Tribolium castaneum: one gene and its partner. The protein of the gene in region 1 interacts with the protein of each later gene in a pairwise test. Links are inferred from orthologs where the notes say so. Each region holds a gene or a part of one and is shown on either strand. Other genes may lie near its edges. The genes, in order: phytanoyl-CoA dioxygenase, peroxisomal; Pex7.

Region 1 (4,465 bases):
AAGGGCTGCAAAATTTGCAAAATTTGGAGGTCTTGCATCTGGAAAAGCAGTGTTTGTTTGAAGGAAACTGCCTGTGTTTTGACCCCAGAAGCGTAAATGCCTTATCAGTGCGTGTAAGACTGATCCAAGCCCCGATATTAATGATTTCTTTAAAGCACACGCTCCAAATCCTCAATATATCGTACAATAAAATCCAGACGATCTCGTCTTTAGCGCCCCTTAAATCGTTAAGAGTGTTCAATGCCTCTCATAACGAACTCAGTAACATTGACGAGGTTTGCGGAGTTATAAAAGACTGGTTTTATTTGAAAGACCTAGTTCTCGCCGCCAACCCCATCTGCAAAAACCGGCTGTACAAGGAGGAAATTATCGCCAACGCCTATTGTTTAGACACACTGGACCAAAAAAATATTTCCGACCACACCCGAAATTTTTTGAAGCGGCTTCACGGCGAACGCATCGCCCAGAGATTACACAAAAGCGTAAATTTGGCAAACAAGGTTCCAGGTAAATGTTTACGAGCGTTTTGTTCGCGTGTTCAAATTTTTGTACAGAATTGTCGAAAAATTACTCGTCCGCCATTCAAAAAGCGGTATCGATCAGTATATTGAAGCAAAATAAGGAATTAGACGACGAAATATTCGATGAAAAAAACGCAGTTTACATTCCGTGGAGAACACGTAAGTTTTGTTATCACATTTATGTTGCTCACTTCATTTTGCAGTACCCAAGCCGCAACATGTTGCCAAGTTGCGACAGCTCAGTAAGAATCACAAAAAAACGCAAAAACGAAAGTCATCGTCAAATGTCGACACTTTATTCTCACATTTAAAAATATAAAATTTACAATTTTTACAAATTATTAACCCTTTCCCGTTATTTTTTACAAATGGCTCTCCAAGTTTTGGAAATTGCCAGGGATTCCCCTAACTAAGCGGCTCTTAGCCTTCCAAATCTCCTAAAAATGAGTAAATAAATTTCATGTTTTTTTAAATTTCTCAACCAAACGTACGACAAATTTCATAGGCGCCCCCTTTTTCTTAGCTAGAGTTTCAATCTCTTCAGCGATATGTTCCTGAAGTGTGCCTCTAACATCGATAAAGTAACAGTTGCTATCAGCGTAGTGACAAGAAATCGCTTTCCTAAAACCCTGGCAGGAATAGTTTAAAAATTAGGCTGAAATTAATTCGAGAAAAAATACTTTTGTTCGATTAGGTCCCGAGCCGTGCAAAAGAATGGGGTGGAAAAAGACTGTATCGCCTTTTTCCATCACAACGTTCACTTTTGGTAAATGATCAAGGCCTTGAACACCATGATACAGTCGATTTTTGTATCCCTTGAATTAAAAAAATAAACGTTTAATTAATTTTAAAGCAATAAAAAAATACTTGAGGGTAAGTATGGGGGTACAATTCCCATTTGTGACTTCCGGGAATTACGTAAAGACAACCATTATTTTCATCGACTCGCTCCATTGCGGTCCATGACGCTGCAATTCGGTCTGCAGGTCTAAAGGGAAAATAATGTAGGTCCTAAAATTTTTATCACAATTTCAAATTTTACTAGAAAAATAAGCAAAAAATACTTGATGTAGAGGATGCAAAGACGCACCAGGATCAGCATCAGGGGGCTTGTTTATTAGCATGGAATGAGCCCCCGTAATGTTGGGGCCTATTATACTCTCAATGACATCAACCACTGGTTTGTCCGAACAATATTTGAAAAGAACTTCATCGTAAAGAAAATCTTGGATCTGAAATTTTTTTCATGTTTTCAGCGTTTCCTATCATAAATACTTAATTTCTTAACTATTAATGTAAAATTTTGAAAGAAATATTAAAAAAAACACATGAGTATAGAACAAAATGAAGCATTCAACAGCAAATGCTTTTGTATTCACAAAAACTTAACGTAGCAATTTTTATTATCATACCTTATTTATTAAATATTGCCCTCTGACACCTTTATGTTTTAAAGAAGGGTCTTTCATAACAGTCATAAATCCAGGGTCAGCCACTCCGTCGCATATTTTGATGAATCTATCTCTGTATTAAAAATAATAATAAAATATTTAAAGAAAATTAAAGGAAACATTACTGAATTTCATCCAATAAGGCATGACTAACATTGTTCTTTATCACAATATATCCATTATCTTCATAAAATTGGCGTTGTTCGTATGTTAGAACACCACCGTCTTGAGTATACCTAAATCTAAAAATTGTACTTATTAATATGCACTTAATTTTTTGTTTAACTAAATTACCTTCCCATTTTGTTCGGTAACGCAGACAATTCTCTTAAGAAACTTGTCCGAATAATACACTAAAACATAAAATTATCTTGTTTATTAAATACACTTGAATTATGTTGCGTCATTGAAGCATTTATTTATAACAATACAAAAAACATGTACTTAATGATTTCAGTGTCAGTAGTAAGTAATAACAACACATTATCGAACAGATACTCAATAATAAACAATTACTTTGAATTTACTTGTACTGTTTTTAATCAAATGTCAAGCATCCCACCGTTTAAATAAATAAATCAATGATACGAGAACAGTAAGAGCCGGTTTACAGAAAATTTTAATTGCAATTAAATTTTAATCGCGATTAACTTGACATTTGTCAATGCATTTTAAATGGCAACTTAATTCGAATTAGTTTAATTTCGAATTAAATCTTAATTTCGCTTTCTGTAAACCGATCCTTAAACTTATAATTAAACATACTGTCTATTTTTTTCTCGATTTTGTTACTTAAGTACCTACTACTTAAGCCGTAGATATACATATCGCTCAAATTGTAACACACTATAATAATTATTTGTGCGTAAAAAGGAACTAACAAATGCTTTTTCTTATTATCGTTGTTTGTTAGTTGTTAAACACTCACCTCGTTATCACAGCACGCAAAGTACAGTAAATAATAAAAGTCTTGACCTCTGCATACCCAACAGATGATCTAACTAAAATTTCACTATTTATCTAGTTAGAAGGTTGGTAATGCTATATTTTTAAATAAATTAAGTGTATTTCAGTGATGTATTTATTTTCAAGTTTGAAATAACATACTACTACCAAAATCAAAATTAATTTGAAACCAAAATGTAGTGCAATAAAATAAAAAATGACATTCTCTTATTTTTTACACAATAACTACGTATTTAAAAAACTTGGAAAAGCGGAAACTCAATTAATATAATAGTTGCTCTTAACTTGTTTAACCACCTTAAAGCCCTGCCTTAAGAGTTTTAGTTAGAAGTATTAGTTAGAAGGTTGGCACCAAAATTGACAACTGTCAAAAAAATGTCAGGTTGAGGTTAGAAATCAATCAATCAAAGAGCAATGCATTGAAATCTCAAAAACCCAACAAAATTCCGACGATTTTTCAAGAATGTTCGTGAATTTCACGTGAACTAAAACCCCCAACAAAAAATGTCCTCGAATCTGGAAGTTGAGCCGGGGGCAGCCTCCGAGAGTGTCCTTGTTACCACCGACTCCTTTGACAATTTTGATCACATGAGCTCGAGCCTCGAAGAAATCAAAAACCTGAATGCACTCGCGGAAAACGACTCAAACGTGGAAAACAGCAACGTCGAGAATTTTGACGAAATCAGCGAGAATCTCTCAATTAACAACGAAGAGGACGATTTCGTCCAGTCAAAGGAGTGGGCTTGTAAGAACAAACATGTCTTTGTCCTCAGCATGGCCGGGAAACCCATCTATTCGAGGTTGTTATCGTTTGCATAATTTTTTTCTTTACAACTTATGTCTCAGATATGGAAACGAGGATAAGCTAGCCTGGTTGTTCGGTGTTATGCAAACACTGGTTAGCTTCGTACAGTCAAATGAGGACACCATTAGGAGCATCCATGCCGGGGACACGAAGTTTGTCTTTTTAATTAAGAAACCGTTAATTTTAGTCGCCGTTTCTCGAACGCAGGAAAGTGTAAATCAGCTGTGTTCACAACTAAAGTGAGGGTTCCCACTTTGTTATTTTTTCTAGTTTTGTTTATTGCAGCTACGTATTTAATCAAATAGCCAGTGTCTTAACCTTGACTAGACTTAATAAAATTTACGAGCAACGCCAGAATTATGACTTAAGACGGCTTCTGGCAGGTGTTGAGAGACTCATTGACCACTTGCTAGATTTCTCAGAGAAGGAGCCTTCGTTCACTTTGGGCGCAGTCCAGTGTCTGTCACTTGCGTCCTCAGTGAGAGACAACATCAGCTCGGCCATTGTCGGAGCTTGCAGCAAAATTAAAGTAAAAAAATTGTTTCAAAAAACATTTTTAAAATATCGTTTCCAGAACCTAGTTTTCGCAATACTTCTCGCAAACAATAAACTTATCACTCTAGTCCGCATGAAAAAATATTGCCTTCACCCGGCCGATCTCCATTTAATATTTAACTTAGTCCAAGCCTCCGAAAGCCTCAAAACGGCTGAAAGTTGGACAC
Region 2 (3,593 bases), on another chromosome or scaffold:
AGAACTCTACAAAATGGCATAGGACTCAAGGCGATATCTCGCAAAAAAAATTCAATTTTCAAACGCCGATTACGGCCAAACTAAAAGAGCTACAAGAGAACGGTTTGTTCCATCGTAAAGAGCACATCAAAATCTATAAGATAGAATAGGTTTCATTTGATTTAGAGACACTTTAAAAATTGACCGATTTTAAGGGGGGGGTGTCAACTTTTTTTTAATTTTTTTTATTTTCTCATTTACGGCTAAACTATTCAAAAAAGTGGGACTGTTTTGATCCTCACCTATTCAAAATGATCCGGGGAATCGATTGGCATCGAGAAAATTGCCAAATTCACGATAGTTTTTTACCAATTTTTGCATTTAGCAGCAATTTGCTCGAAAACTATTAGTCGGAGAACAATAATCTTTTTTGAAAAAAATAGATAATTTAAAGAGCTTTCCAATGATAGTAAACTTCGTAGGGTTATCTCTAATAGTTTCGGAGTTATTGCTCGATAAATGTTCCGGGTACTCGAAATCGACCAAAATCGCGACAAAAATTGAAAAAATCAAACATCAAAAAATATGGACTTTTTTGGACTTTTAACAACTCGAGTGTGTTGTATATGCATATAAAAGTTCATAAAACTTTGCTAGAATGAGTTTCAATTTTTTTTTCATATTCATGAAGGCAAGCGTCTCGACCATTAAAATTTTAAAATGGAGAGAATAAAAAGCAGTTAATTTTTTTACAAATTTATTTCAGAATTTTCAATACAAATATAAAAAATAAAAGCAACAAATTACGGTTAAAACAATTTAGAGACATTTCAGTCTTCGTCATGAACCCATAAAACAAATCAACATTATCTGTAAATTGGCTACAAGGGTCGTATGAACAAAAACCGTTTCAGAATAATCGTTGCCACCTCATTTCATTCATACGAGCCGACCTTCTTCATGATTGAACCAATTGGTCAAATATTAGGAACTGACTCCAGTCTTCAGTTATAACTATCGAGGCATTTTGGGGTAAAAACATGAACCAAACTGTCCCACCCGCAATCGGCCAGTTGCCCCTTTCTATGAGTATTCCAGTCCAGCCCATACACGAACTCCGAGTGATGCTTAATAGTCTCTAAAGCGTCACAACCCTGTTTAAAATCCCAAATCCTTGTCGTAAAATCGTAACTGACCGACGCCAGAACCGTGGCGTTATGCGGCGAAAACTGCACCCTCCTGACCGCATACTCGCACCCTTTCAATTGAAACACCGGCTGCGTGTAATTCCTAATGTCCCACCCGCGAATCAGTCCGTCCGACCCACTCGTCGCCAGCATATTTTCGTCGTATTTACACCAATCACAGGCCAGCACCTCCGCATCGTGCACCCGAAACGACGACGTGGGGCTCTGGGGGTTCAGGGTGCTCCAGAGCTTCAAGCTCCCGTCCCCCGACACGGACGCGAAGCAGTTGGGCATATGGTTGGAAAACATCGCGTTGTAGACCAGCTGCGAGTGGCCACAGAACGTGCTGATCGATGATTGTCGATTGGGGTCCCACAGCTTGATGGAGCAGTCCCAGGACGCGCTCAGGATGCGCTGCTCCTGCCGCGTCCGCGACCAGTCCAGCGAGTAAACCTCCTTCTTGTGCTCCCACAGCGTCACCGGGGGGCTGTTGGGCGACGACAGGTCCCACAGCTGCAGCCCGCCGTCCCCGGACGCGCTCACCACCAGGCTGGGGTTGCACTCCGACCACACGACGTCGAACAGGCCGTCGGACCATTGGTACGACTGCGTCTCGCAAAGCTTGCCTTCGGGGCTCACGTCTAGGATGAAGAGGGTGCCACCACCGGCCAGCCCGAAGTACTGGCTTGTCGCCACCACCAAGCGGTCGGGGTTGAAGGGGGAGAACCGGACGCTGTAGCCGTGCCGGTTCGGGGTGAGATAAGTGGCCATAATCGCGCACTTACGACATTTTCATTCTTTTAATATTTAAAATTTAACGCGGTTTGACAGTTGTCAAACGGCTGTCAAGGGCCGAAAGTGGCCAAAGCCACACCAATCGGCCGACAAACACGCAACAAAGCGCCCGCAGTGGCCCTAATTAATTAAAAATAACACGCATTGTTGTGCAATGTCTTTGCGGGGTTATAATTTTTATATCGTTTGAAATTTATTATTTTTTTTACAAAAAAAAAATGCTAAAAAAAATTGTGACGGTAACCACTTCCCAAAATTCTTGACATTAGGAGGTTATGTTGTAAATAAATTTGTTATCTGTTGAGGACCTAAAGGCTTGAAATATCGTTCTAATTTATTGAAAATGCGGTTTCGCTTAATTTATTGTTATAATTATGCCCAGAGAGTCAAGGTTAGTGTCTTACGTAGCTTCGTTTACTTAAAGTTTTTTTTAGTAAGTGTCGCGAATGGGAAAAAGAACGAAGGAATCGTTTAAATGAGGCTTTTGCCACGTTATGTAAATTATTGCCATGCTATGACCCGGCTACGAACGTTAGTAAAATCGATATTTTGCGTAATGCTGCCAGTTACATTGAGGAGCTCCAAACCAAGGTTAAAACCCTAGTCTCGCAAGACAATGACGAACCGGCTAAAAAAATCAAGGGTAAATTTTAAGGGTAGTTGACGCCACCAATTGTAGTCCCTTTTTTAGGCGAAGAGCTTAAAAAATTGCAAGAACGTATCAGGAAACTTCTCAGTAAAAATGAGCAGTTGTGCGCCCTTTTACGTGAAGCGAAGATCACAATCCCGCCAGGGTGCTCCCTCAGGAAGTTCAAACCTCCGTTTAATTGGTGTAATAAAATTATGCCCGAGCAGGCCAAGATTTTACAAAAGAAGGAGCTCGACAGTAAGGTGCAAAAAATACAAAAAAGTGTGTCCTTAATTTGGATTTGTAGAGGAAAATAATGCTTCGGCCAAGAAACTCCAAGGCCGCAAATTCACAAATAAGAGCCGGAACAAAAACAGCACGCCCAAGCACAGAAAAGCAATTTTGAACAGGTCCGACTCTAAAAAATTGCGCCCCTCGAAGAAAAAGAAAATTAAACCAATACCAACTTCAAAATGTGTGATTGTGTTGTCGCAACCGAATGCCACACAACCGTGTTACATAATCACAAACGCGCCTTCAAACAATATTTTGGGTGGTTCTTCCACTGGTAATTGAATGTTTTTGTTTGATCCATTCTAAAAAAATAATTTCAGTCATTACGAACTCAACTCTTGTTGCTAATCCTTTGGTGTCGTCGAAAGCGGCCAAGACCGTTGCTTCCATGCCGCCCCTCGGCCCCGGCACTTTGATTTTGGCCAACGGTACCATAATGCCGGTACTACCACAGCAAACCGTCCTTCCGCTCGCTCCTCAAATCATTACCAGACCGCCACCCATCATCCTATTACCGCGAAACCCCGTCACTACTTCCACCCCCACAACTACCGCCAAAACCATCACCACCACTACAAGTGTCAAGACTCTGACCCGCATCAAGCCAAAGTATTGCCTCACACGAACAACTCAGGTCAATAAAGTCCCGATTCCCGCACTGACTTCGCGTTATTCCAATCCCGAGGTCGTACTTAAGAAAAACGAGCCCA

What was found.
Region 2: the proteins of phytanoyl-CoA dioxygenase, peroxisomal (region 1) and Pex7 interact in a two-hybrid assay, tested with the Homo sapiens proteins (2 studies listed by BioGRID, with this or other methods). The link is inferred for Tribolium castaneum from reciprocal best matches to the Homo sapiens genes PHYH and PEX7.

What each region holds. Positions count from the first base shown.
Region 1 is NC_087396.1:19,983,594-19,988,058, forward strand, and holds phytanoyl-CoA dioxygenase, peroxisomal, read right to left. Parts: upstream 3,037-4,465; 5' UTR 2,901-3,036; intron 2,326-2,900; 5' UTR 2,275-2,325; coding exon 2,267-2,274; intron 2,215-2,266; coding exon 2,098-2,214; intron 2,046-2,097; coding exon 1,934-2,045; intron 1,754-1,933; coding exon 1,586-1,753; intron 1,533-1,585; coding exon 1,389-1,532; intron 1,337-1,388; coding exon 1,202-1,336; intron 1,151-1,201; coding exon 1,013-1,150; intron 959-1,012; coding exon 884-958; 3' UTR 841-883; downstream 1-840. Other genes in the region: protein phosphatase 1 regulatory subunit 42, read left to right, coding at 1-107, 156-507, 555-680, 725-840; vacuolar fusion protein MON1 homolog, read left to right, coding at 3,443-3,738, 3,785-3,982, 4,029-4,272, 4,318-4,465. UniProt on the Homo sapiens protein: Catalyzes the 2-hydroxylation of not only racemic phytanoyl-CoA and the isomers of 3-methylhexadecanoyl-CoA, but also a variety of other mono-branched 3-methylacyl-CoA esters (with a chain length of at least seven carbon atoms) and straight-chain acyl-CoA esters (with a chain length longer than four carbon atoms).
Region 2 is NC_087395.1:23,090,756-23,094,348, forward strand, and holds Pex7 (peroxisomal targeting signal 2 receptor), read right to left. Parts: upstream 2,033-3,593; 5' UTR 1,938-2,032; coding exon 984-1,937; 3' UTR 720-983; downstream 1-719. Other genes in the region: mucin-2, read left to right, coding at 2,336-2,352, 2,396-2,604, 2,653-2,847, 2,897-3,157, 3,204-3,593. UniProt on the Homo sapiens protein: Receptor required for the peroxisomal import of proteins containing a C-terminal PTS2-type peroxisomal targeting signal. Specifically binds to cargo proteins containing a PTS2 peroxisomal targeting signal in the cytosol.